Linked DNA regions of Mus musculus: all the other regions are reported to be linked to region 1. Evidence: microRNA targets listed by miRTarBase, many of them from high-throughput screens and not tested one by one. Region 1 holds a microRNA gene; each other region holds the end of a gene's coding sequence.

Region 1 (4,067 bases):
CTCTGGGAAGGGCTCTACACACTGTGCTGCACACCACTGGACTGGAAAGCCAGTGTGTACTCTGGACCCCTGAACTGTCTTCCTTCATCTACAAGCTACTGCTTACTTCTATTGTTTGATATAAACCCCAGACATCACATCACTTCTGGATCAGCAGTTATGATTAATGTTCTAGCTTGTCTGATCTGTAGCTCTGAACTTACTCACAAAAGGGCTGGGTCTGCAGGGCAGTGGTGGCGCATGCCTTTAATCTCAGCACTTGGGAGGCAGAGGCAGGTCTGGTCACCCCAGAATTATACACCCCATTGTCTTTTGCTGTTTTCTGCTTCTAAGGCTAAATGTTTCTCCAGAGAGAACAATTACTTTTCATCTCTAGTTGGCACTTTAATGCTTTTAGTTCTAATAACCCATTATTTAGGTTAATAAAGAGATAAAAAATTGCTCCAGCAGGCTTACTCTTTTTTTTTTTTTTTTTTTTGGTTTTCCGAGACAGGGTTTCTCTGTGTAGCCCTGGCTGTCCTGGAACTCACTCTGCAGACCAGGCTGGCCTCGAACTCAGAAATCTGCCTGCCTCTGCCTCCCGAGTGCTGGGATTAAAGGCATGTGCCAACACCGCCCGGCAGGCTTACTCTTCAATGTGCGTTTCTATTCTTTCTGCTGGCACCCGACACACTATGTGCTCAGTTTGTTCTGTGTTGTTTGATTGATGAAATACACTCGAATCTTCACACATTTTTTTTTCCTCCTGTGGTTGGAATTGGATAGTTATTGTAACCAAAGGCTCCACAAAAAGCAATTTAAGGGAAGAAAATTTTATTTTGTCTCATGATTCAAGTGACCATGGGCAAAAAGACAAAAACCTTTATATTTTTTCCTTCCTTCCTTCCTTCCTTCCTTCCTTTTTCTGTAAAACACACACACAGAGATATGGGAGGTGTCCTTCAGGCATGTGGAGGTCAGGGGACAGCTTTTAGGAGTCTGTTTTCTCTCTGCACCTTTTTTGGGGGATGGAGTCTCTTCTGTTGCTTCTCACTGAGTAGTGCTCTGGCCTAGGTGGTCCGCAAGCTCTGCTGATTCTCCGTCTCCACTCTCCATCTCTTTCTGAGAGCACTGGGTTACCGTGGCACACCCTTGTACTCGAGTGGGTGCTGGGGATCAAACTGAGCTCAGTCAGGCTTGTGCACCCAATCAAGGCCAGTGCTTTAGACTGTCCTGCCGTCTGTCCATCTCAAGAGGGCATCTTCATTAAATGGCAAGAAATTAACATTGTGCTCATGAATAGAAACAAGTTTTTAGCTTGACATTTTAAATTTCTACAAATAATGCAGGCTTGACTGTGTCGTGTGTATAAGCCTTGTGTGTGGTGTTCAATACTGTGTAGCTACTACAGCTTCCCCTCAGAATGTAGACTGTTCTCTCTCTCTTTTCTTTTTTCTTCTTCTTTTTTACTTTTTCTTTTTTTTTTTTTTTTTACTTTTTACCTTCTTGAGACAGGGTTTCTCTGTGTGTTCCTGGCTGCCCTAGAACTCATTCTGTTGAGCAGGCTGGCCTCGAACTCACAGAGATCTGCCTGCCTCTACCTCCCAAGTGCTGGGATTAAAGGCGAGCGCCACCACAGCCCGGCTGCCTGGCAGATTTATTTATTTATTTATTTATTTATAACCTTGATCTCATGTTTAAGGTGATGTGTCCCAAACTCTCCACTGTGGGCATTATGTTTTCCTTTATGGTTGATAAATCTATCAAATGTATCAAAATAGGTGAATGTCCTGTCTTTGAAGCCTTCAATCTCAGCCTCCTCACTCCATCATTCCTTCTCCATTGCTTTGCTGTGTCCTATGGTAGGGAGAGCTGCCCCTCCAGTTGTCTGTGCTGCTCTGTCTACTTACAGGACATTTGGAGTCCTGGTTTATTTAGTGCATTAATAGCCTCTTATTATTATTATCATCATCACCACCACTATTGTAAAAATTCTTGGATTTACCCAGAGGAAGTTCCTCAAACTGTTTTTTTATTAATTTATTCTTTGACAATTTGATATATACACAGTGCATTCTGATTATTCTCCCTGTCTTCTCATCTTCCCCTCCAGTCCCTCTGACATGTTCATGTCTCTCTCTCTCTCTTTTTTAATATTACATGTTTTGCCTGAATGTACTCATGTGCCCCATGTGTGCCTGCTACCTGCAGAGGCCAGAAAAGGGCATTGGATGCTTGGAATTGCAGTTTGGATGGTTGTGAGCCCCATGTGGGTTCTCTACAAGAATAACAGGTGCTCTTAACCTCTGCACAACCCTCGAGCCCCTTCATGCCTTCTTGTTTTGCACCCCTTGAGTCTAACCACAGTGGTTCACGTGCCACTGGGTATAGAAGCATTCGCTGAAGTTGGTAGACTCACCCAGTGAACACACAATTGAAGGCAGTGACTGTCCCTGCCCCAGCAGCAGCCAGCACCAATAGTCCCCAAACCGGTTTCCTTGTCCTCTTGTACCATTCTTGGAAGATTTTCTTACCGTCTGGGACAGTGGCGTGTCTCAGGTGCATGCTACACTTCCCCTGCTCCAGTCCCCAAGCCCTGGACTGATCATTTTTCCAGCAAGTGCTGGCTATTCTTGTAGAAAAGAGAATCACTTATAGACATCAACATGAGCTCCAGTCTAGTGCACTGCTACTGAACCATGATTGCTTACTTCTGGGTTTCTCAGCAGAACTAAACACACACACACACACACACACACACACACACACACACACACACACCTTCATATGTTGGAAATCATGAATTCAAGCAGGGTACAATGGTTAACAGCTATATATTTATACTTCTGATACTTAGGAGATAGGCATGGGAATTTGGAATTTGAGGCCACTCTGGGCTACCTAGGTAAGAGTATATGTGAAAACAAGAGTATGTGTGTGATGGGGTGTAGTGGAGGAAAGGAGGGGCCCACATTATTTTGTGCTTCCAATTTCAGCAAACACAGCACTGCCTTCCATTCCCCGCCTCTCATATCTGCGCCCTCTTTTCTAACCACAAGCAACCTGCTTTCCATTACCTCAGGGTAATGAGTACTTAGTCCCATTACCTCAGGGTAATGAGTACTTAGTCCTAGATAGCAAGCTAGAACAGCCCTACCTGCCACTGGTAACTAACTCCTGTTTGCTTCCTCCCTTTGGTCTGGGGGTTTAAAGACAAAACATCCCTACTTCAAGTAATTCTGCCTTCCACACTCTTCAACTGACTGGCGCTCTCTTGAAATACATCTAGGTGATTTTCTGTTTGTTTGTTTGTTTTAAAGATTTATTTATTTTATGTATGTGAGTACAGGGTTGCTGTCTTCAGACACACCAGAAGAGGGCATCAGATTCCATGACAGATGGTTGTGAGCCACCATGTGGGTGCTGGGAATTGAACGAGGGACCTCTGGAAGAGCAGCCAGTGCTCTTAACCACTGAGCCATCTCTCCAGCCCCCATCTGAGTGTTTTTCATTGTGTCCCACACTGTGCCTCTCATTCTTCTGACTCTACAATTTTTTTTCTTGCACTTGTACATTTAGCAGAAATCCGTACTAAGTGAAAAGTTCACCCAGACACCAGTCAAACCCACAGATTCTGCCCACCTTGTAGTCACTGCTGGAGGCAGGAGGATTATGAATTCAAGGTTTTACTTAGCTACACAGAGGTTTGGAGCCCAGCCTAGGCTCTATGAGATCTTGTCCTAAAAACAACAATTAAAACAAAACCTGTGTGTTCTATATTCTGGGTATGTGTTTAGGGCTCTATTTCTGGCAGTTATAATATTTATATTATGTATAATATTATGTATAATATAAATATATAATGATTATGTAATTGAAAATGCTTTTAATATCAGGTTATAGAAGTCTTACTTAGTTTTACAGTTATATATTACTGTTACAAGAATCTCAAGGGTCGGGCTGACGGGGTGGCTCAGTGGGTAAGAAGGTGAACTGGGTATTGTTGCTTGCTCCTTTCCCCAGTGTGGCCATTTTGAATAAACATCCTTTCTCTGCTTTTGGTTTCTTCCCTTCCCTTGTGTGACGGT
Region 2 (4,067 bases), not on the chromosome of region 1:
GTGTGGGTGTGAACCCAGAGTCTGACTGTTATCTCTACTGCTGTAGTGTCGCCAGTACTGTGAAGCACGCCTTGTCTATCTGGCTCAGCATCATCGTTTTTGGAAACAAAATCACTAGCCTGTCTGCCATTGGCACCATCCTTGTCACATTGGGTGTCTTGCTCTACAACAAGGCCAGGCAGTATCAGCAGGAGACTATGCAGAGTCTGGTCACAGCCACCAGCCGAAACCCAGAAGATGACACAGAGCCCCTTGTTCCCCAGGACTCTAGACAGCACCACTGATCACCTGATGCTGTGTAGATCCAGGCCTAGATGTTCCTTCTGTACTAGAGGGAAATGATGCAGGGCAGGTCTCTCGCTCCTTCCTGGAAATCAGATGGGGAATTTGGGACTCAGCTTCTGCCTGGCAGAGCACCACAGGACCAAATGATCTACAGCTTCCCTGGCTGCAAGTGAACCAGTGTCTCCGTGCCCAGCCTGCACTGTGGAATAAGCACAGGCTCCAGGATCAACCCGAGTTGCTGTCTGTTTGATGCCATCCAGGAGACCTAAACTTTTCTATCACCACCACCACCACCACCACCACCACCATGGAAGCCTCTTGGTTCTTGACAGTCTATGAAACAGACATTCCAGATGCCAATGACTCTAGCATGGAGCCATAAAACCCAGAGTAGCAGGCAGAAGAGACAAGTTTCTCCTGCCACGGAGAGACAGTGCTGTGTGAAGGAGAAGTGTCTCCTCCTTGGCCTGTGCTACATTGAACTACCCTGCTCCAGGGTTGTTGTCCCATGTTTCTGCTACCATTTTGTGATTGCCCATTCTGGGAAGTTGGCAGCAAATCTCTAATTCAAGCAGATGGTCTGGAGTGCTTTTCCATTTTAAGTATGTGAATGTGAAGCGGGCGATTCTGAATGGCACAGTGGCTGCCCTATGAAGATTTCCCTTCAGGATGCTTGATAGGGACGTTCTGACGAGCATTTGAGTGTTTATAGGCTATGCTGTAGTTAAAGGGACACTTCTTTTTGATGTAGCAGGTGCCTGTCGAGGTTTCTCTGTGTCTCCATGTAAGGTACATCAAAGTGTACATGCACAACTAACTCTTCACCAGGGATCATATGATGACTGCCTGAGCCACCAGGTCTCCAGAGCTTAAGGTGGAGTGGAGGACAACAGTGGGCCTTGGGTTAACACGCTGAGGTTCTACATTATTCGGCATTTTGTGAGTTGTGTGTGGGGTGCAGTCTGTTGCTAGCCAGTCTCTAAGACTCCATTACTTACAAGCTGCAGCCACTGGCACTCCTTGTCCAGGTCTCACTGGTCCTCCCTGCTCTAAGTCTTTCGTGCACATGGTGGTTCAAAAAGATAATGGGGTGAAAAAGAGCAATAATTATGTCTACATTTTATTTACTTGAAAAAGCCATCTGCCATGATGATGGATCAAAATGAGGCCTTTTAATCCATAAGCCAACTTTTAAAAGAAGCTGATGTGTGCTGGACATCAGCTAGGTGTATCTTTACTATGCTATGTAAAGATATTGTGAAGATGTTCTCTCATTTGACTTTGCCCAGGTTTCTAGTTCCTTCCTCTTTGCTCTTCTCAAAATAAAGATCCAGTGGAGGACAGATGGCAGACGTTGGATTAATCTGTGTAGACCTGTCTGCTCAAGATCTGGCTGTGGAGCTGCTGACACCGAAGAGCACGTGCTTGTGGGTATTGGTTGGCAGAGCTCTTCTGGCCTTCCCGCAGACCTGTCTAAGTATGCTCAGAGCTCTACATGCCTGGCTTCTTACTATTATTTGGAATTTCTGCCTGTGTCCTATGTTTAATTAGGAAATGACCTATTGTGACTTGCTCTGGCCATCCCTCCCCCATGTCACAAGACTCAGCTTGTTTTGATTTTCTTAAGGTTTGGGCTAGAAACAAAAACAAAGATTTTTCTTAAAGCAATTTTCTCTAAAGCTGCTTTGAGACTTTTCCTCATAGGTGGAAAGATCATGGAATCAGCTGCTTCCTTCAGGTCTTCCAGGACAGGGCTGGGTTGAGAATCGTGGAACGGCCCTGCTTGACCATTTGTTATGACTATACCATAACAATACATTTTTAATTGACTTTGTTAGTACTTTCATAGAATACTATGTTCTTCATGAATTGTTACTGATGTAAATGTACAAATATTGACACCACGTGTCATTCCTTGTCCTGGATAATTCCTCCTGAGTTTATGTCATTGTCTGGTCTGTTGTAAACAGAACACTGGATTGACCTTCTGAGCCAGCTAGCTGCTTACTCACTGCACGCATAGTTAAAAGATATACACATTTCTAATTTCAAAAATAGTTCTAGGAGCTACAGAGATGGCCGAGTGGTTATGTTTCTTGCTGAGGACCCAAGTTCAGTTCCCAGAACTCATGTAGAGTGTTTCACCAACTTCCTATAACTTCAGCATTAGGGATTCTAATGCCTCTGGCTTCTCTGGGCATCTGCACACTGGCTTGTGTATGAACACACACACATATACACACACACATATATCTTAAAAATAAGTACATTTGCTAGGGGAGGTGGTGCAAGCCTTTAATCCCAGCACTTGGGAATCAGAGGCATGTGGATCTCTGAGTTTGAGGGCAGTCTGGACTACAGAACAAGTTCCAGGACAGCCAGGGCAACACAGAGAAAAGCCTGTCTTGAAAAACCAGATAAATAGATAAATAAAATTTAAAAACGTCCATGATTTGGGGTATACCTTAGTGGCACATCACTGGCATGTATTGTGAAGCTCTTGGGTTGATCACCAGCAGCAGATGTGGGACAGAAAGATAAAGGGGAGACAACAAAAATAACCCCAAAACTTCTAATACTAAAAGACAAGGAAACGTTTTTGTTTTTTGGGTTTTTTTGTTTTTTTTTTGTTTGGTTGGTTTTTTTTTTTTTTTTTTGGTTTTTCAAGACAGGGTTTCTCTGTATAGTCCTGGCTGTCCTGGAACTCACTTTGTAGACCAGGCTGGCCTCGAACTCAGAAATCCGCCTGTCTCTGCCTCCCAAGTGCTGGGATTAAAGGCGTGCGCCACCACTGCCCGGCCGGAAAGTATTTTTTTAATTCATTGTTTTGCCTGCATGTGTGTCTTTATGAGGGTGTTGGATCCCCTGAAATTGGAGTTACAGATAATTATGAGCTGCCATGTTGCTCCTGGGAATTGAATTCGGGTCGTCTTGAAGATCAGCCATCTTACCAGCTCCTGTTTTGTTTGTTTTTAAACCCGATCATGATGGCACATACATATAATCTTAGTAATTTGGAAGCATAAGAGTGCATAGTGGTTCAAGGCCAGCTTGGGCTACATATTGAGACCAAGTTTCAAAAAAATGTTTATGATCACAATTTCTCAAATATTAGGATTATCATCTGTCTTCAGATGGTGGTTCACACTTTTAATCCCAGCACTTAGGAGGCAGAGGCAGGTGATTCTCTGTGAGTTTGAGGCTAGACTGGTCTACAAAGCCAAATCCAGGACCCCCAGGGCTCTGTTACACAGAAAAACCTTGTCTCAAGAAAAGTAAAAATGATGAGTCAGAGGAGATTAAAGAGAATTAAAGCTGTTCAAGGGATTCGGCCAAGTAAACTTTACTTTGTGCCTTAAAAACAGCACAAAACAAGTGGCTTTGTGATCCTGCTCTCAGATGATCACTTTGCTCAGTGATAATAACAGATGCTCAGCACAGCCTCCTGTCACATCTGTCCAAGTGATGTCTTCTTTTTTTTTTTGTTGTTTTTTTTTGTTTTTTTTTTTTGTTTTTGGAGACAGGGTTTCTCTGTGTAGCCATGGCTGTCCTGGAACTCACTTTGTAGACCAGGCTGGCCTCGAACTCAGAAATCCACCTGCCTCTGTCTCCCGAGTGCTAGGATTAAAGGCGTGCGCCACCACCGCCCAGCAAGTGATGTCTTCTTAACATTGGAAAGGGGTAAAGAAAGATGTTAGTACAGATGGGAAACAATGCCGGCTCCTCCTGAGATTGCATTTACCTATGTAACCCATAGTGTCCTTGAACTCTAGATTCTTCTA
Region 3 (4,067 bases), not on the chromosome of region 1:
ATATGAAGGCTACATTGTTGATCAACAAAGTTAAGTACCAGAGTTCCATACAAAAACTTTTAATCTGTTAAAAAAAAAAGTACATCGCATTAAAAAGAGTAGATGGTTGGCACTAGATTTACTTGGGGATATTGGGTTGTAATCGCGGGTGGATAAGGCAAGAAATCCAGCACCTCGGTTAAGTACTTGCTACTCAGTACTAACTTTTGTCTTTACTTGGTGTTGCATGCATGGCATTTAGTGGATCCAAACAACGGCCTTTCCTTTACTCTCCCACAGATACAAGCTGTCGCTACTGAAGCCCTCTACAAAGGCACTAGCTTTATCCTGTAAAGTGTCTATCCGGACAGATAACCGAGGCTTCCTCTCCTTACAGTACATGATTAGAAATGAAGATGGGCAGATATGTTTTGTGGAATATTACTGCTGCCCTGATGAAGAAGTTCCTGAGTCTTGAATAATTCACTGACTATTTCTGTCTTTTTTTTTTTTTCTTTCACGAGACAGGGTTTCTCTGTAGCCCTGGCTGTCCTGGAACTCACTTTGTAGACCAGGCTGGCCTCGAACTCAGAAATTCACCTGCCTCTGCCTCCCGAGTGCTGGGATTAAAGGCATGCGCCACCACGACCGGCGAATATTTGTGTCTTTATAGTTGGCGTTCTCACTCTAACTCTCTAACCTTGATGATTTCATTTTGGATTGTATAGAGAGATGCATGGAGAAAATAGGAGCAAGGTCAGTCCCATTCTGTAAATCTGTAAATAGTTTTTATTTTGTCAATAAATTTTTCATATAGCCATAAATTATCCGACTTACTGTACTGTCCTGTGTCTTTTGTTCTTTTCTTTTTTAAAACTGTGTTCATGCCGGGCATGGTGGCGCACACCTTTAATCCCAGCACTTGGGAGGCAGAGGCAGGCGGATTTCTGAGTTGGAGACCAGCCTGGTCTACAGAGTGAGTTCCAGGACAGCCAGGGCAACACAGAGAAACCCTGTCTCGAAAAACCAAAACAAACAAAAAAAAAAACAAAAAAAAAAACCCTGTGTTCATTGTGTGTGTGTGTGTGTGTGTGTGTGTGTGTGTGTGTGTGTTTGCTTACCTTGGATGTATAGGCACCGCATGTGTGCCTGGTGCCTGCAGAGTTCAGAAGGGGCATTTGATGCTCTAGAGCTAGAGCTACAGGTGGTTACAATCCTCCATGTGGGTTCTGGGAACCAACCCCTAGTCCTCTGAGGTGACGACTGAGCCATATCTCCAGCATTCTCCTTTCCCCCTGACAACCTTCCCAACTTATGGGAATCAGTGAATCAACATGAATACATTGTGGTTTTTCCACTTAAGTAGATTTTTTGTTTTGTTTTGTTTTGTTTTGTTTTTTTCCGGTTTTTCAAGACAAGGTTTCTCTGTATAATAGCCTTGGCTGTCCTGGACTCAATTTGTAGACCAGGCTGGCATCAAACTCAAAGATCCTCTGCCTCTGTGTACTAGGATTAAAGACATGCACCACTATGCCCAGCCTAACATATCTTGAGAGTCTATACAAAGTTGGATGGAGCCATATCCGATATGTTCTTTTCTTTATATAATAGTATACATTCCAGGTACTAGATCTTTTGTTTTGTTTTGTTTTGTTTTGTTTGAGACAGGGTTTCTCTGTGTAGCTCTGGCTGTCCTGGAACTCACACTGTAGACCAGACTGGCCTCAAACTCAGAAATCCGCCTGCCTCTGCCTCCCGAGTGCTGGAATTAAAGATGTGCACAACCACTGTCTAGTCAGATACTAGATCTTAAAGCTGAGTGGCTCACTATCACACCAGTGTCAGAACTGTCTTGAGACTTGCTAGTGGGGAGAGCAATGTTTATTTTCTCAAGCTTCCTCCAGAAAATTCTGATGTTTGCCAAAGTGTGAAAAAAACAGCTGAACCACAGTTTGAGAGACTATTCTTGCTTTTGTTTTATTACATTCACCTCTCTCTCTCTCTCTCTCTCTCTCCTCTCCTCTCCTCTCTCTCCTCTCTCTCTCTCCTCTCTCCTCTCCTCTCCCTCTCTCTCTCTCTCTCTCTCTCTCTCTCTCTCTCTCGACAGGGTTTCCTGGCTGGACAGGTGACTTCACAAATGATTTGAGTTGAAGCATTCTATGGTTAATTTTATTATTGTTGACTTGGTTTTAAGAGTTTGTTTTGTTTGTTTTGAGACAGGGACTCTCTACATAGCCTTAGCTGTCCTAGAATTTACTGTGTAGACCAGGCTGGTCTCGAACTCACAGAGATCCACCTGCCTCTGACTCCTGAGTACTGGGATAAGAGGTGTACTGCCCTGGCCTTTGTTCCTTTTTGCTGTCTAACTGGCCTTCGAGGAGCCATCTTAGATCTAATGCCCTGGACCATCAGGACTCTTGGAGGACTCGCAGGAGCCTGTGCTGTCTTGCTCTCCATTGCACTTTTTCCTTCACAAGGTTGGCGTCCATATCCCCCACACAAAACAAGCCATGTTTGTATTTCCCTGGGTAGTTTTTACTAAAATAGCTTTTGTGGCAATAGATTTTTTTTTGTCATTAACAAAACATAATACTAAAATCATATGATAAGCCTTCTCAGTAGAAAAAATATGTCTAAAGTGAAATTTCTCTTTTCTATGCTAGACACTAACAGTCACTGATGGTTTGGGGCATGATACTTGGGGAAATAATGTTACTCTATTGCAAGATGTGTTTAACATTCCTAAAATTATCTCTTCCGGTCATTATGACTCCTGTCCCCAAATAAAAGTACCCAAGGCTACTGATGGTTGAAAACAGCCAGTGGAAGAATACAGGTTGAGTTTTATAAGTTTTTAGTTTTGTGTTTTTGAAGTTTATATCATTTTCTTTTTGGAAAATTTTGCTTGCCAGAAATAGGTAAACAAACAGCCTTTTTTTTTCTCTTTTTTTAAACCTTGTTTATTCCCCCATTTTATGTTTCTACCTAGAATTTATTTAACTACTCAAAATAGACTAAATAATTTCTTAAATTATACTTTTTTAAATCACAGAATTTCGGATGTAAAGTATTCCTGTAAAACATGGTTGCAGCTACCTGAAGGGGTAGGCTATGATCCTCTCAGCGGTTTGGAGTGGACTCTTTCAGAACGCGATGGAGAGCAGGAGGTGGCTCAGTGGGTAAACGTGGTCCCTGTGCAAGCTTGACGAGCTGCCTTCCGTCCTAGGACTCGGAGAGAAAGCTGGATGCAGTGCTGTGGAGCTGTTAGCCCAGCACCCCGGGGCCAGATGGGAGGTGACCAGAATCAGCACAAAGTTTGTGGTCCTGCTAGTCTGGAGTACACAGCACAACAAACGAAAGAACTGCCTCAAAAAGGGGCAGAGGGATAGCCCAAACCCTTGAAAAGTCTGCAGGCCTTCACACATGTACCGGCATTCAGTTTACTGCAGGTTTTTAAATGCACAGACCCCGCCCCTTCCTACCTTCACATTTCCTGTTCCTCGTCACCTGAAATATAAATCAGGGGACTGAGCACATGTTGAGCAACTGCTGAGCCACTGAGCCTGATCCTCACCTTCCAGTGTTGCTTTTAATCATGTCAGGGTATATGCACTTCAATATGCTCATTGATACCACAACAGACCTCCGTCTCAGGGAATAGATGCCGCAGACCCTCTGGGCCCCTTTGTCTGCGTGGAACGGGTCTCTAGTCTCAGGTGGGCAAAGCGTCGAATAAATTGACAGACAGATGCACACAGGAGAGGTTGTGTAGTATCTGAATGTAATGTCAACTCGAGTATCAGACTTTTTATACAGAAGACAATAAGGAAGTTGGGTGACATACAAAGAAGTTTGGGTACAAAGAGGTTTCTGGATTCTTACATAAAACAGAGGAATGCAAACACAGAAGGTCTAACAGGAACCACCTGGGATAGAATTCATTGTTAACAACTGGGATCAACAAGGGCTCCACCTAAGATTCACTAATCTTAGAAGTCAGGCTCAAGGGCTTCATGCCCTTGCCATAGTTCCTATTTTAGTCTATTGTATAGTCCACCTTCCCCTTAGGTCTTTAGTGATGGTAAATT
Region 4 (4,067 bases), not on the chromosome of region 1:
TAAGCCATCTCTTGAGCCTCTAAATTCGAGTTTTAAATACAAACCACCTTCCTACTTTCCAACATACAAGATGCTGGACACCCCACCCACACTTAATACATCCCCAGTCAGCAAGCCTCATGTTTGGACCACTCCCAAGGCTGTGCTCACTCTTCCCCTGGTCAAGAGAGAGCCAGGTGGGGGTAAATGCCCCACAGCCACTGCCAAGGGTGGTGGAGGAGTCCAGCACACCGCCTGCATGGCCCCTCGTCCCTGACAGCCGCAACACCACCCGATGCTTCAGAATCCTTTTGACTCTTCCCACCACTAACAACCGCACACCCATTTTCATAAATTCTTTATTTTGGAAATTTTAGTAAAAAATCAGTCAGGAAAAATTGAAGAGATTTATTGTATAGTAATCAGACAATTGATTTGAATAAGGCACATTCAACATCATCACTATGGAAATGAATGCAAAAAGCAGTTATGGTGATTTGGTAAGTTTGACAAGCCATTACATTTGTAAATATATAAAGGCAAAACTCTATGGGGTTAAGAAATCTTTGTTAGAGAAAGTAAGAGTGTTGGTGAAAATCATTTTTGCTGCACTACTCTCGTGTTCACAGGCTGCATCTGTCTGTCATAGCCAACATCCGTGCTCACAGTGCTCCTGTCTTTAACAAGACTGTGGACCAAAGGCTGTGAGACAAAGCTGTACCATCAGCCACAGTGATTGGGGGTGGGGGTGGGGCACATAAGCCAATGGGAAGGGTACTGAGCCTCACTACTCCCCCTAAGCCTGCGGACTTCCAGGTAAAAGTTACTAAAATTAGTTCAGTGTTAAGAACTCTCTAGAGCTTTTCTGACAATCTCTGAGTGGTGCCCAGAAGAACCCTAAATTTTACCTGAAAGGGAAAGAAAGACCCAAGTCTAAAGACAGTTTCTATTTCCCCTGCTTGCTTCTAAGACTTGGTATTACTCAAGAAGGGATTCCTAGTTAAAAACAAACAAAAAAAACCCCACCACCAATAAAAAACATACACACACAGGCAAATTATCACAAAGAATTACAACACACATAAAAGGCTGGAAAACTGAATATGAAAAGCAATGGTCTAGAAGACAGTACACGGGATAATAGGCTGGTGTGGCGGCACACTACCGTAATCCCATCCTGTAAGAGCCCGAGGCTTGAGAATCATTACTTTGGACTGTGTAGAGACTCGGTATCAAAACCAGAAAATTACTTGTTCTGACCCCAAACTAACATACTGCTTCTTTTCAAAATGACTTTTAAGAGGTCTGGGATATAGGTTAGTGGTAGGGCACTTTCCTTGAATGTTAAGGCCCTGAGTTTTGAAACAGAGGATAGAAAAAAAAAAAGCAACAACAACTGACAAGTCTCACTCAGCTGATTGCACTTATGACAAAAGGAAAAGTGTATTTTTACAAGGTAAGTAGTAAAAAAACCAAAAATAATTGAAAAATAATAAATTTCTAAAATGTATTATATCCTAAATTTGTGTTGACAGGAAACTATGTAAGGCTGTCGTTTTACATAGTTTTAATGAGGAAACGATTGCTTTCCACTTGTGATCTGAGCCACTGACATAGACTGTGCACAAATACTGTAGACATTCCTCTAGAGTCTGAGGTAGCATGGGTCAAAGGCCAACATGACAGTCTGCAAGGCACCTTTTGACGCGATTTGATGTGGTTTTACGCGATGTAATGCTAGTGGCTAAGAGCTTACATGAAAGTTGGATATGATGGCACACACCTGTAGCCTCGGCACTCAGCACACGGAGGTAGGAGAAATTACTCTAAGTTCAAAGTCAGCCTATGCTACAGAGTAAACACCAGGCCAGACATGGCTATGTGACAAGCCACTAGCATTCAAAACAAATAAGTCTAGAAATACAGAAGAAAAAAAATTCAAAAATGGCAAATGGATTTTTCTTCAATCCCTGTGTTTTACAATGAGTTGACAGAAAAATTCCATTCACTATGCTTAAACTTTGTGTAGGGTCTTTTCTGAAATCTATATCAGGATTCCTTCAAAATCCCAAATACATACTGTTTCATGTGTGCCCCCATACTTAACTTACTTAACACCAAAGGTTGTGGCCAAAGCCATCTTGTGGGAAATATTTTCAGATCACCTCTCACCCGTGTCTCTGTGATCCATTTAACTACCAATAGACATCTTCTTAGTGTTTCCTAAAATCCCTTTAGACTCAGGTTGCTTAATGTCTTAAGTGTATACATGATCTCTTAGCAGCAGATGACCCAAAACTGAGTGCAAGATTCCAAGGGCTTTTCCCATCCATGTAAAGGAACAGACCTTTTGTGGGTCAAGATCATTTTACTAGAGTTTTACTTTCAGAGTTCACGTACTGATTAACAGCTTATTGGCCCCAGTCTGAAATCATGGGATGTAGCTTAACAACGGATATTGGCCATGATTCCTCTTTCTGTTCCCTACAGGAGACCTTCCCCTTGTGTTTATCAAGTTCCTTTCCTGACGGCATTTCTAACTAGCTGAGGACCTCAAGTCTTTTCTGAAAGAACACAGACAACAGTGAGATTCCAGCAGGGGAGGACAGGAAAGATCCACAGAAAGGGACAAAAGCTCACGGCCCTGCCCTACACCCTCCAGTAGCAGCTCATCTGCAGGTCTCTGTCGCCCTGAACAACAGAACTTCCTGTTACTCCTCAGCTTTAACCCTTTCATGTCTTCCTATCCTTCCTACTCTAGAATGCACTTTCACTTCATCAATGGCTTTCAAACTTCTCTGTGAAACTCAGCTCCACTGAAATCCTAACAGAGAACCCCAAACCCAGCAGCCAAGAGCAGGCATGATTCACAGGAAGGAGGGGCTGCTGGGTAGGCAAAGACAAGTGACATGGCCAAGGGGGATTTTTTCATTTCTGGTGATTACTAACAATTTCGTCATTGAGTCCAATGCTTGGGAAGGTTCTTTTTTGAGCACAGCTGTTCTGGCCTCAGCTCACTAACGGAACAGAAGCACACACACACCAGGCTCTTAGGTAGGTTTGGAGGGTTGAATTCTAGTTTTCTGTTTTCACCTACTCAAAGTGCAAATCTGTGTAAGACACAATCAACCCACAAGTGTATTATTAAAGTGAGTATTAAGGCCAGGCAGTGATGCTGCACGCCTTTAACCCCAGCACTTAGGAGGCAGAGGCAGGCAGATTTCTGAGTTCGAGGCCAGCCTGGTCTACAAAGTGAGTTCCAGGACAGCCAGAGCTACACAGAGAAACCCTGCCTCAGAAAAAAACAACAAAAAAAAGTGAATATTAAAAAGCACTTAATATGTAGTAGAAGAGTTCTCTAAAATCATTTACATGACACCTCGTCCAGGTCCAAGCACTGCCCTAGAGGCTGGTGAGAGTCCTTGCAGGCAGCAGTGGGGCTGCAGTTCCCCGGAGAATCAGATCTTCCTGTGCAAAACAATTCTATTCTACTGATGTGCTGGACACTTAAACAATACATCATGTTGTATTTTAACCCTGATTGGCTTTAAAAAACAAAGAAAAACATCAGGCCAATTGTTAGTTTTATCAAAGTTCAGACTAGAAAGATTTTTTAAAAGTCAAAGAAAAAAAGCTTCTTTTCTAACACAGTGACGGCCTCCCAGCTGTTTCCTCTCACATGCCAGTCACCTCCTAGCGGGACAGAGCCCTGAGACATGGCCCTTCCATGTCACCTCTGTGACTGGCTTCACAAAAGGCAGCCTCGCTCTTCTATGTTCCTGACGGGCTGGACGGGCAGCACCAGGTGGGAGATGCGGCTCCAGAGCCCACTCAGTTTGTCTGAGTCCATGTGGCTGTAGGAGGTGGGGCTCTCAGAGTTGGTGAACTTAGCCCAGAGTAAATCCCTCACCTTTTCTTCTATTTCCCTGGGGCTTACACTTGCTTCTAACGTTTCCTCCTCCAGCAGGACTGTCAGGACAAGTGCCACATCTTTAAAGGCGGCGTTCTCATGGTCACAGTACTTGTAGAAGATCAGGGTGGAGCCGGCAGGAAGGGATTCGAAGTGGTGGACCACAGCAGCCTTGTGG
Region 5 (4,067 bases), not on the chromosome of region 1:
CCATTGAGTTTCAACTCAACAGCGTGTACCGAAGCATCTTACACCTATTTCGTTCATAGAATGCATCTCATATTCTAATAAGCACCGTTCTTTTGGGAGGCTTGCAGCAACCGAAGGGTAGCCAGTGTTGTATTTAACCCCTTTTGGGTGTTGGAGTTTGAACCTTGGGCTTGATGCATGCTGAACAGGACACATCTCCCAGTCTAGTATTTGTCTTTATATCAAATTCCTAACCTTCAGCTGTGTTTTTGTTTTTTCGTTTTGCTTTGTGAATGTTAGTAGCGTGTAGACAAACTGGACAGATAGAAGATCTGTGAGGTCTGACTCAGATATTACTGTTGTAATTCTGACAGGTTTGTTTATTTTCCTAACAAGGTCTCAAATAGCCTAAGCTGGCTATTTGAGTTTTGGGCCCTCCCACTATTCCTCCAAAGCACAGGAATTAGAGGCATTTGTCCTCTGGCTTCATCAGGCCTCACTCCATCAGTTTTCTGGTTTACAGTCAACTAAATAAATCTATCAGCACACTGAAGGCAGGATTGTAGGATTCCTTGAATGTTTTTAAAAGCCTGGAACTCCTGCTTCCCCACCTTCACTTCCTTCTCCCTCGTGGCTACCGTGACAGATGTGTGTTAGCTAGGCAGCCATTTTAAAGGTGGACAGATGTGTTATTGATACAGTCATGTAAAGAGGCTTTGCAGCATGCTATTGGGAAAATAACATGAAGAAAACAGGCAGAGAATTACATTTACTGAGAGGATGGTTTATTCAATGGTGTCCACAAATAGTGAATGAAAAAGACTGGGGATGTGGCTCCGTGGGAGCGTATACATGCATGCGTGAAGCCCTGGGTTCAATTTCCAGCACACAAACAACACAGCCCAAAGAAACTAAAGGCTGATGATACTGAATGAAGACTATGCAACTTTGCCAAAAGTGCTTGTATTTTACAATGCTGTACATTTATGATTTAAAAAAAAATGTATTAAGATATCAAGATACAAACCCTAGGCAGACCACATGAATTAGTGGTTGGGGCTTGGGGAACATGGTAAACCATATGAAAGTTTACATTTCAAGAGCATAGGTTATGTTAATACGATTAGTTACCCAGCTTATTTTAGGCTATCAAGTAGGTACACTCAGTGTATTTGCCGTGGATATTTGAGATAATATAAAGACACATGAACCAGTATTAGGAAAAAATATACAATGACAAATTTAAGGAACTTTACCCAATACTTAAGATAGCTACCAAGGGTGATCACATCTACAAAAGAGTTTATAGAGTATTGGTCATAAGTATCACATGAAAACTAAGAGAGCCATTTCCCACCCTTATGTTTGCAGGGAAGACAATTCTTACTAGACAGTGCTGGTTGCTGGGTGGGACAGAGAGGAACAGCCCAAGAGATGGCAGAGAATTCAAATTCCATCTCTGTGTAGGAAAGGTTTACAGTCACGTGTGATCAGGCATGTTATGTTCATATGGTAAGCTCACAAACTTGAAGAAGAACTACATAACTTATGTGAATACACTTTTACTTACTTAGCCACAGCTTTTTGAAGGAAGGGCTCTTATTTTGAAGGGAGGGCTCTTATTAGACTTTTAGTGACACAAGGCCTTTTCAAGGTGCAAGTGGTTCCAGAAGAGCGATTTTGCTATTTCTATTTTATAAATATCAGCATTTGCATAGCTTTATCACAGAGACACACATTATTTTAGAGGACTGTATTTTATTTCCATTATGAATTAAAGTTGTTTCAATTATCCAAAAAAAGGGGGGGGAGGGGTTAAAAAGCAAGCTGATGGAGTAAGATAAACTGAGCCTGTTTTAACTTGACACTATTGGGTTTCACACCCAGGACAAGTGGCGGAGGTGCATAGTTAGCGTACCAAAGTGGACCTGGGCTCCAGGTCCTCTCAGCTCCCCCAGGCCCTACCTGGTACAGGGCATGGATGCCATACCCCGCCCTCTATGCTGAACTTCCCAACCTTAAAACACCTTCTTAGATCCTCAGACACTTTCTTAGAAGCTTTCCCATCCTCAGACATGGATATGCAGCAGCCAGACCTGGGTCTGAAATACAATATAGTTATGTAGTTCCTTGGGATTAAATTATTCTGTGATTTATTAAGGAGGGAAAAGCTATTTTTGACATTAAAAAAAGGTAATTAAGAAGTAGTCACAGCCGGGCGGTGGTGGCACACGCCTTTAATCCCAGCACTTGGGAGGCAGAAGTCGTCACAAAAAAGAAAGATCAGTTTAAGAATTTGCTGTCAAGTCAGGCAGTGGTCATGATGGTGCACGCCATTAATCTCAGTACTTGGGAGGCAGAGGCAGGCGGATCTCTGAGTTCGAGGCCAGTCTGGTCTACAGAGTGAGTTCCAGGACAGCCACGACTACACAGAGAAACCCTGTCTGGGGGGTGGGGGGGAAGGACCAAAAAAAAAAAAGATTTTGCTATCAATGCGAGGAACAAATGGGTCTAAAGTGTTTATTAACATATCAATTATGAAGATGGAGATTCAAAATCTTTATTATAAGAGAAAAAAATAATGTACCTTTGTCTATTTGTTTTGTTAGGGTAAAAGCTAGACTTCCAATTCTGCATTCTTTTCTGTATATTTTCTTAGACGTTGACTATAACTCACTGGGTTTTCCCAGTCTGAGGTGCTTGGGGCCTTACCTAGTTTGGAGTTTCAAAGGTATTTCACATTCAAAATACTATTTCAGATTATTTTACAACCTACTTTTAAATTCAATGTTCTTATAAAAAAAGGCCATGATAAGTTTACTTTTACTAGTTAAAATACAAAAGGCTAAAAAAGACAAAAAACAAAACAAAACAAAGAAACAAACCTTGCCCCGTACCCCAGAGGTTTTATTCTATAAAATTTTCAACCACAATCCCAATAATTTAATTCATACAAAATACATTAGTAGTTTTAAGATCATATTTAATGCAGTTAGCTCCTACTTCACATGTTCTTTAGAATGTAATATCCCAGCTTTGGTGCGGAATGCTTTTACTTTTATGAACATATCACTTGTCATTCCTATTTGACAGCAGCTTAAAAAAACAAGAGCAGAAACCCTGCTGGCAGTGTTTCCTAAGTCCGTGACCCTCATGTAAGGCACTTCTGCTCGGTGTCAAGCTTGTCATTGGATTTCCCACTTCCTCAGTCTCCAGAGAGTGACACTGACACTACTACTTCAAGTAAAACTGCAGGACTTGATTGTAGTGTAACTGTCAGAGTGCGGTGGGTGGGGACGGCAGGAGCTGGGCACTGGGTTCTGTGTGAGGAAAACTTGAGTGCAGAGAGTCTCTTCCATTTTACATTTAGAGAATGGGTACTGTTTTATCTTGTTGATCTTGTTCAAGACTTTTTAAATCTTCCAGAGGAAGATTGCTTAAGGCAGTTGGTAAAATCTGTTCTGAGATGCCCTTAGGTAGCATGTTACTTGCTTCTAAGCTCTTCACAAAGCACGTGGCTTTGATCCACCTTCGAGTTGCTCTGCGTTCTCTTTGCAGGCAAGTTTTCATTTTTTTTCTCAAGCTTGCTATTTCCTTTTCTAGTTTAATTATCCTTTTTTTCGCCTCCATAGGGTTCCTAAAGGCATAACTGTGTTCAAGCAGTACTTGCTGACTGCCGTTCAGCTTTAAATTACATGGTCCAGTTGGAGGAAAACTGTTGTTTGTCTTCAGAAGATTCCTTGACTTGAGTTTCTGAGCCGAACAGAGAGTTTAACATAAATTATGAATACCACACATAAGTAAACAGTGACCAGTTTTGAGTAACACAGTATTTAACTCATCTCTAAAGACCTGCTTTTAAGGTTTACCGGGTAACAGCAGCAGGCTAGCTCATGTGATCATGGCTTAAGGGTCTCAGTAGGTTGAATGAATGCGACTCACCTTGTGCAGTTCTGGCTGCCGGCTTGAACTCAAAGAGATCCACCTGCCTCGGCCACCTGAGTGCTGGCATTAAAGCCACGTTGCCACTGTGCCTTTCTTATGCCCTTTATCTGCAGACTTACTTAAACATTGATTTTAAAATAAGC
Region 6 (4,067 bases), not on the chromosome of region 1:
CTTGTGTGGCTACTGCGCGGCCTTCAACAACGTGGCGATCACTTACCCGGTTCAGAAGATCCTCTTCCGGCAGCAGCTTTACGGCATCAAGACCCGGGATGCAGTCCTGCAGCTGAGGAAGGATGGGTTCCGCAACTTGTACCGCGGAATCCTGCCCCCGCTGATGCAGAAGACGACCACGCTGGCACTTATGTTTGGTCTGTATGAGGACCTGTCGCGCCTGCTCCACAAGCACGTGAGCAGCGCTCCCGAGTTTGCCACCCGTAGCGTGGCGGCGCTGCTGGCCGGGACGACGGAAGCCATTCTCACTCCATTCGAAAGGGTTCAGACTTTGCTTCAGGACCACAAACATCACGATAAGTTCACAAACACTTACCAGGCCTTCAGGGCGCTCAGATGCCATGGGATTGCAGAGTATTACCGAGGCATGGTGCCCATCCTTTTCCGGAATGGGTTCGGCAATGTCCTTTTTTTTGGCCTTCGAGGGCCCATTAAGGAGAGCCTGCCTACTGCCACTACATACAGCGCCCACCTGGTCAACGACTTCATCTGTGGAGGTGTACTCGGGGCCGTGCTGGGCTTCTTAAGCTTCCCCATTAACGTTGTCAAAGCTCGAATACAGTCTCAGATTGGCGGGCCATTCCTGTCTCTCCCCATGGTCTTCAAGACTATCTGGATAGAGCGGGACAGGAAGCTGATCAATCTCTTCAGAGGTGCACATCTGAATTACCACCGCTCTCTCATCTCCTGGGGAATAATCAATGCCACTTACGAGTTTTTGTTAAAGATTGTATGATGAAATCATTATGTGAGATGTTATTCTCATCTAACTAGACCTAAGGAAAATGCAATTTGGCTTTGTTCCTAATTGGCTTAAGTACAGTTTGGTGTCCAAGACCAAGCCATAACTTGCAGACAGAGCACTGACAAGAACAGAGTCCAGGTTTCAGTGGGCAGGTGTCAGGGTTCGGGTGTGGTCATTACTCCAGAGCTTTAGGCTGCTGTTGCCCGGGAACCAGCCTGCACCGCTGGGCTGTGGCCTCCGCAGCCAGAGCGCGTGCTTCGCCCCCAGCCCGGGGCATCTCAGGCTCATTCTCACCTCATTTACTTTGTCTCTGCTCTTAAGAGGGCCATAATCATTAGACCCCAGCTCTGCACGGAGGACTGGAGCAGAGGTGCCACTCAGTGCCATGCCTGAGCTCCATGATGAATGGTTGGGGTTAGCTTTGAAATAAGTGCTGTTGAGATAGCCGCGATCTAAACTTTCTGTTCACATTTGATAGAGTTGAGCAGCTAATGAACGCTTCCATTTTGCTGTTTGGCTTTGAACACTTTCTGTTTAATTCTGAGTCTGACTTTAAGCCCTTCCAGAATGTCCTTGTGCTGTTTTTACTGAATTCATTGCCAAAAGATAGGGTGCCCTAGTTAAATTCCGTTGTGTGCTTCATCGTGGTAAGCTGGTCACTGCAGGCTCTGCTATTCTGCTTGCTTCTTTGTGCTACTGCTGTCGACAGCCAACCAGTGAGGACACTGTCCCTTGTGAATAGTAACTGTCATGTCTGTCCTGCTCTCTGGTACTGGACTTTAAACAAATAAACACTTCCATAAAGTTTTATTTCAGGGGTTTTAATGCAACCCCAAGTCTTCTTTTTTTCTGGTTTCTCAGTGCTACAGAGTGAGCTAAGGAGTGGAGGGTGCTTCCCCTCTGGCCGCCCGTCTCTTTCTCTGGGAAGAAAGATTTCAGGGTTCTGCTACTCAGGAGCCCAGTTGCCACTGTGCCGTTTAGGAATGTCTGCTCTAAGTAGCAGCCCTGACTTCTGGTCAGGTAGGATCCAACTGGCAGGAACCAGGCCAAGGAGTCACATAGCTATTTTCTGGGTAAATGCTGTAATGGAAATACCATCAGTCTGGGAAGTAGCTTAGAATTTTCAGGAAGCTGTCTGTGACCACCACCGGTCAGCTTGGTTCCCAGGAGTCGACATAAGCAAGTCAGTTTCTTTGCTTTTTTTTTTTTTGTTTGTTTGTTTATTTTTTTAAATGGTGCTAGGGATTGAACCCAGGGCCTTGCACATCCTAGGCAAATGCTGTCCCACTACACTCCAGCCTTCCCAGTTTTGGTTTTATTTGGTTTTATTTTATTTTGAGACAGATTCTCAACAGGTAGCCCAGGCTCGTCTTGAACTCTCCTGGCTCTGCCTTCTGAGTGTTGGGATTAAAGGCGTGAGCTGCCGGACCTGGCATCCCCAGTCCTTAAGAATAGGTTCCTTCCTCCCTCCCTCCCTCCCTCCCTCCCTCCCTTCCTTCCTTCCTTCCTTTCTTTCCAGAGCTGAGGACCTAACCCAGGGCCTTGCACTTGCTAGGCAAGAGCTCTACCACTGAGCTAAGTCCCCAACCCCAAAGATAGGTTTCTTACTAAGTTTTTCATTGGGTAATTGCGTGTGTGTGTGTGTGTGTGTGTGTGTGTGTGTGTGTACACCTATGTACCTATAAACTGAAATCAGACCCTCAGCTGCAGTTTGAGAGAAGTTTCTGGGGAAGGTAATCCAAAACAGCTCTTTAACTACACTGAAGCTGGTTACATAAAGCTACCATCATCCAGCTGTAACAGTTGGGAGCCTGGTAAGCATTGGGGTGGCAGTAACGGAGGTCAGCGGCTTTGGAGCGACACTGGTGGAAGTGCAGTGCGGACATTAAGGGGCAAATGTGAGGACTCGGCAGACAAGAATTTGTCTGAGATACATCTGAGTACTACTGTCTTCAGTTACAATTTGAAGGTGAGAAGTCTCAGAAACGAGAGATGGCGCCTTGGGTCCTGACCCCTGTGTCCACGTGCAGCATTGCCCAGATGCAGCACAGGGGAGGGGAGTTAACCAGGGATTATACTTTAATTTTTGTTTGTTTTTGTTTTTTCGAGACAAGGTTTCTCTGTGTAGCCCTGGCTGTCCTGGAACTCACTCTGTAGACCAGGCTGGCCTTGAACTCAGAAATCCACCTGCCTCTGCCTCCCGAGTGCTGGGATTAAAGGCGTGCGCCACCACTGCCCAGCCCAGGATTATACTTGGCCTTGTTTTCTTTACACTCCGTGCAGGTGGCGCAAGTGTCGGCTGTAAAGCGCTCCTTTGAGGGTCACCAGGCTGTTAAGGGCAAGGCTTTGGCTTTGCTGACTTAATTATGTGACATTTTAAAGCAAGATTAAACTTCCTAATGCTTTTTAACTTTTAAACACTTTGTCACCCTTAGAGCTCTTAAAGACTAGATTGCAGTGTATTACAGAGGTGGCTCTGTCTCTGATAAATTTAAGTTTGACAAAAATAAAATCAGAGCTTGTAATCCACTTTGAACTTCTATGTCAGAATGTAATTAATAGTCTTAACTAGTGCGGTGATATTTTTTAAAGGCAAAAAAGACTAAAGAACTCTGAAAAGCTTTAAAGTGGCCTTTGTGTTACATGTGTGGCACAGGTGGCTCATGAGTGCAGGACACGAGTGTCCCGTGTGTCCTGTCTGATGCCACTAGAAACCTACGAGTTTTGCATTTAACACACCAGTGCTGTAAACCCTCAGGACGGTAGCAGGGTCAACACAGCCTTTGCATTGTGGCAAATTGGGGTTTTGCTTCCTTTGTGGTTAGAGACAGATGTTTGTGCCTATCAACGTTTATCTTGTGGTTGGTCATATAATCACTTGCTATATATTGTGACCCTGTGCAATGAAGCAGAATTGTACATACATAGTATTATTTGAGTACCTGAAATTCCTAAGCTCAAAGACAATATAGATAAACTTGTAAGGTTTAGAGGGCTGGCCTCGTGTAAGTGGTTAATAGAGAGTGAACCCTGGTTTGAGGGTGGTGAGAGCTGGGTGGATGTGGTCACCGCTGGGCCAGACTGTTGCCAGGAAGGCATTCATGCTTGGGTTCCTTATGTCAAATGTATTTTTTCTCCTATATAAATAAATGCATATCAAAAGCTTGAATATGTTCTCTCTAGATTTAAAGATTTTTTTACTTTTTTATGCTCTTTGTATAAACTTAATGCTCTTTGCTTGCCAAACTGCTGAGGAGGTGGG
Region 7 (4,067 bases), not on the chromosome of region 1:
ATTAGAATGGTAGCATAGAGACAATAGAAGAAAGCCAATTACACCTTGCAAAGAGAGCAATGTCAGAACTCGGTGAGCTAGGGGAAGAGTGGAGTTTGTCAGTAACATTAGAACCTAGGTAGTTTAAGAAAGGTGTCATGAATAGAAATGAGCAAGAGTAGGAGAACTGGTTTAGGCAGTTTCATTTTTTTAAATTACGGGTTAGAAGCAACAGTGGAAGATCTAAGTGAACCTGTCCAGCAGTCAGCTGGGTTTGGAGAGACAAAGGTTCTGGCCTAGCACCAAGTTGGCATGGTAGAATGAAAGGCATCATGGGAAATACCCGCCACTATGGAGAAAGTCACAAGCACGGCATTTCACAGGGACTGTTTCTTCAGCTAGAAAATGAAATGGAACCCAAGCTCTGGATGATCTCTGAGGTTCTTAAGGACTAGAAGTCAATTGACTTGTATTTACCTGCTATTTGTTCTGTCTAAGAGGAAATAAACAATCTGATAATCCATAGAGGATTAAATCACCCCACATGGCAAGAATCGGACAAAAAGACGGCAGCAAAGGAGAGAGGGGAAGTAATCAACAAAAAGCAGAAGGAAAGCGATTCTAAATCTAGGGAATGAAACGAAGGAATAAAGCATTGTAATAAGTGGGTTACATAAGTCAAATATGACCAATTATAATATACACATTAAATAATATAATATTTCAATAGAAGATAAGTAGTAGTTGAAAAAGAATGCAAATAGTAAACATGGGAGAAAGTGTTCAATGCCATAGGTAAGCAAAGAAGTGAAATTAACAAATTGAATGTTTCTCTTCCAGAAAGATTTCCCATAAAGTCTGATGCTGGAACAGCAATGGAACTAAGCTAGCCATATATCACTGTGACAGTGAAAATGTATGCAGTCATTGGGAAAAATCACAATCCATAAAAATGTTCGTGCTCTTTGGTCTGGTAATCTCACTCTTGAGAACTTGTACTAGAGCTAGAATTGCAAAAAGAAAAAAGTCACAAACAGGAAAATATTCAAAGCACAGAAAAACTAACCTACCTAAGTGGAATAATAATAATAAGGGAATAGCCTATTAAGATATGGTCTACCAATGGAAGTAAGTTTATGTAACTATTGGCGCACGCCTTTAATCCCAGCACTTGGGAGGCAGAGGCAGGCAGATTTCTGAGGTCGAGGCCAGCCTGGTCTATAGAGTGAGTTCCAGGACAGTCAGGGCTACACAGAAAAACCCTGTCTCAAAAAAACAAAAAACAAAAAAACAAAAAAAACAAACAAAAAACAAACCAAAAAACAAACAAACAAACAAACAAAAAGATTGCATCAACCTGGAGAAAGTTTGCAATAAGAGGATTATACTTATTTGTTTGTTTTGACAAAAGGTCTCACTATGTAGTCTAGGCTAACTTCCAGTTTATAACCCTCTTGTGTCTACTACCAACTCTTGGGATTATAGGCATACATCACCAAACTCTAAATACCCTAAAAAGCAGACTTTTAAAAGATATAACTGTGGTTATACTTCTATAATACATGACTTCAAACCAAGAAAATGTTGAGTATGGAAAACAGAAATTTGGGGTTGAAATAGGTAAATATTTTCTCTCCACATTTCCTTCAGTGTTGTCACAGTGAGGTTATTTTAAATGTTATTTTTATATTTAAAAAATACCTATAAAATTACATGCAGTAGAGTCAAGTGAAGTAGAGGTCAAAGAGGGATAAGAGTAGAGAAAATATTAACGTTCTTGCCAAAGACATAATTTGTGTTCTAAGTGCCAAAGAATGGGAGGAACTCAGATTTGTGTTTATAGCAGTAGTGAAATGAGGAGACACTAACAGAACTGTGGCAAAATGAGACAGCAAAGTTGTGTCTTTTTTTTATATGGTGATATAAAATCAGTGATGAAAGTAACTAACAAAGATGAAGACAAAGGAAAAAAGGAACAAGGTCCCTCATTAAGGGGCCATGGGGAAGAAAGTGATAAAGACAATGCAGCACAGGTACGCAGATTGGAATGAAGCATAGAGACACTGAGGTGTTTACCCAGCCTGCTAGCATATGTCTTTAATCCCAGGAATTGGGAAGCAAACCCACAAAAAACAAAAAACAAAACCAGGTGGATCCCTATGAGGTCAAGGTCACCCAGGTCTCTGTAGCTAGTTCTAGGCTAGACAGTGGTACACAGTGAGATCTTGTGGAGAGACAGGGGAGGATAAAATAGCAAACTATGAAGTCCAGGAAGTTAGTCTTGACTAAGCAGCTTGGAGTTCTGGGGCCCAATGATGGAGGAGCTTGAATGAGTTGTAATGAAGAGAATAACGTTACCACATGGAGCCTATGGCTAGCAGCAGTGACGGGCAAGGAGATTGTGCTCATAAGAGTGGGGACCTGGTAAGACTCAAAAGGGCCCCTTAATTTACTTCTAATAGAAGAACTCTTGTGCTCCAAGGGAGAAAGATGTATTTAAAGAACAAAAAGAAAGGCAGAGGGGCATTATGATTTAGCTGTTTTACTCTGTAGCCTAGTACCTCCCTCCCCTACACTCCAGACAGAGAGAACACTTGAGGCCAATAAGAAGTTGGTGTGTGTAGATGAGTAGTGATCACAAAGAGCAGCAAAGGTTGGGGGCTGACTCAGAAGGCCAATAGGCTAGCAGGTGACTTTCACAGGAAACGAGGCTGAAAATGAATGCCCGCCCAGAAACTCTTTCTTCTCGAGCTCAGGGTTTAGCTTCCTCTGCTCCATACACCCACCAGATCCTCCAAACCCATAAGTGTTGCGGCAAGAGGACTGAACAGGTAGGAAAACTGAGTGCCCCACCCTAGCCTTGAAATCCTTGAAATCCTATCGCCTGATTCAAAAAGATCTGGTGACAGGTTTATTTATGCTTTATCTAACTAGAGCTAGGAAAGGGAAGAGAGCAGTGAAGAGCCAGTTCTGGGCGTCTACTCCTGTTACCACCCGGTTCTGCACAAACCTGCTTTGCCCATCACTAGGAGAGCTTGGAGGTTTTCTTCCTTCTCAGTCAGAGCTGTCCATTCCTCCTCTCATTAAACAGGTGGGAGCTATCAAGTGTGTTCTCCCGAAGTCCTAGAGGTAGGTGTAATCTTATTCCTGCTTCCAAGGCTGCTATCAACCTGGACCCTGCCTCCGGAGGTTCCTTAGGGTCAGCAACCAAGAGCAGTATTCTGTTTCATGGCTGCTCTGCAGTTAAACACCAGCAGGCTTCGAGAGGGTATGTAGGGCCCTGCAAGGCAGGTTCACATGCCCTGTACCCTATTTCAGCACCTTGACAGGTAGGACTATCTTGTCTTTGAGAGGGAGCCAGGAAGTGGGTGTGAATGCTGCATGTGACTTATATGGTATCTGTGCTATGCTAGTACCCCAGCTTCCTGGTTCTGCCTTGTTTCATGATACACATCAGGCCCGTCTTGAGATTGCTCTACCTTCACTCCTCTAGTTGAAGTCACTACTCTGGTTGAAGAAACACATGCTGTGGAAGGACCTGGGGGAAGCAGAACCAGCAAAGAGTACTGAGGTTTGAGAAACGGGAACAGTGGCCCCAGGAAGGGACAGAAAAAGAGAAAGAAGCATAGGAGTAACTACTTCAAACTTTGGCTTAAAAAGAGGATAGCTGATGCCCCTATCAACTGTCACTAAGGAGCTCCCTCCCCTCTGCCTGCAGTTAGTCCCCTTCCTGTCATATCCAGTGCCCACTGTTATAATCGGTCACCCTCATAAGCAGGGAAGATGCTGTCTTGGTGGATGTCCGCCCACCTGCTGATGCTTTCTTCATGTAGGGTCACCAATGCCAGGGAGGAAGCAGTTGTTCGGCGCTTAGGTGTGCTACCTCTGCATAGCTGCTGGAGCTGGTTTCGATACTTGTCCCCCGTGAACAGATAGAGCACTGGATCAAGACAGCTATTAGCACTGGCCAGGGGACGAGTCACTTTGTAAACCACATTGACAATGTTCAGCACCCGGCATTCGGCGTTCAACAGTCTTGCCAGGTAATAAATTGTGCGGGTGATGTGGAAAGGCACAAAGCAGACAGC

What was found. Region 1 holds the annotated microRNA mmu-miR-1195 (UGAGUUCGAGGCCAGCCUGCUCA, at 1,537-1,559, opposite strand). A microRNA usually pairs through its seed, bases 2 to 8, with sites in the 3' UTR of a target mRNA and lowers its output. Matches are read on the target gene's strand: a 7mer-m8 pairs with bases 2 to 8, a 7mer-A1 pairs with bases 2 to 7 and ends in A, and an 8mer does both.
Region 2: the mRNA of Slc35e2 is a reported target of mmu-miR-1195. Seed matches in the 3' UTR shown: 7mer-A1 at 2,409-2,415, 7mer-A1 at 2,987-2,993, 8mer at 3,015-3,022, 7mer-A1 at 3,839-3,845 and 8mer at 3,867-3,874.
Region 3: the mRNA of Rad1 is a reported target of mmu-miR-1195. Seed matches in the 3' UTR shown: 7mer-A1 at 535-541 and 8mer at 563-570.
Region 4: the mRNA of Tor1aip2 is a reported target of mmu-miR-1195. Seed matches in the 3' UTR shown: 7mer-A1 at 3,233-3,239 and 8mer at 3,204-3,211.
Region 5: the mRNA of Thap2 is a reported target of mmu-miR-1195. Seed matches in the 3' UTR shown: 7mer-A1 at 2,384-2,390 and 8mer at 2,355-2,362.
Region 6: miRTarBase lists Slc25a51 as a target of mmu-miR-1195. Seed matches in the 3' UTR shown: 7mer-A1 at 2,948-2,954 and 7mer-A1 at 2,977-2,983.
Region 7: miRTarBase lists P2ry4 as a target of mmu-miR-1195. Seed matches in the 3' UTR shown: 7mer-A1 at 1,206-1,212.

What each region holds. Positions count from the first base shown.
Region 1 is chr17:70,859,022-70,863,088 of GRCm38, forward strand. It overlaps Mir1195 (microRNA 1195), which reads right to left and starts at 1,579; the gene lies at 1,482-1,579.
Region 2 is chr4:155,618,466-155,622,532 of GRCm38, forward strand. Slc35e2 (solute carrier family 35, member E2) reads left to right here. Exons shown (of 9, transcript NM_177186.4): 9 at 47-4,067. The coding sequence ends at 284. The region is part of intron 1 of Gm16023 (predicted gene 16023); the gene reads right to left. Among named protein-coding and RNA genes, the nearest start is that of Gm16023, 4.3 kb to the right of the region's middle.
Region 3 is chr15:10,492,875-10,496,941 of GRCm38, forward strand. It overlaps Rad1 (RAD1 checkpoint DNA exonuclease), which reads left to right. Exons shown (of 6, transcript NM_011232.3): 6 at 280-821. The coding sequence ends at 457. Among named protein-coding and RNA genes, the nearest start is that of Rad1, 8.9 kb to the left of the region's middle.
Region 4 is chr1:156,065,119-156,069,185 of GRCm38, reverse strand. It overlaps Tor1aip2 (torsin A interacting protein 2), which reads right to left. Exons shown (of 7, transcript NM_172843.4): 7 at 325-4,067. The coding sequence ends at 3,728. Among named protein-coding and RNA genes, the nearest start is that of Tor1aip1, 31 kb to the right of the region's middle.
Region 5 is chr10:115,369,215-115,373,281 of GRCm38, forward strand. Thap2 (THAP domain containing, apoptosis associated protein 2) reads right to left here. Exons shown (of 3, transcript NM_025780.4): 3 at 1-3,732. The coding sequence ends at 3,346. Among named protein-coding and RNA genes, the nearest start is that of Tmem19, 9.0 kb to the left of the region's middle.
Region 6 is chr4:45,395,970-45,400,036 of GRCm38, reverse strand. It overlaps Slc25a51 (solute carrier family 25, member 51), which reads left to right. Exons shown (of 3, transcript NM_001009949.3): 3 at 1-4,067. The coding sequence ends at 796. Among named protein-coding and RNA genes, the nearest start is that of Slc25a51, 11 kb to the left of the region's middle.
Region 7 is chrX:100,589,474-100,593,540 of GRCm38, forward strand. P2ry4 (pyrimidinergic receptor P2Y, G-protein coupled, 4) reads right to left here. Exons shown (of 3, transcript NM_020621.4): 3 at 681-4,067. The coding sequence ends at 3,732. Among named protein-coding and RNA genes, the nearest start is that of P2ry4, 3.4 kb to the right of the region's middle.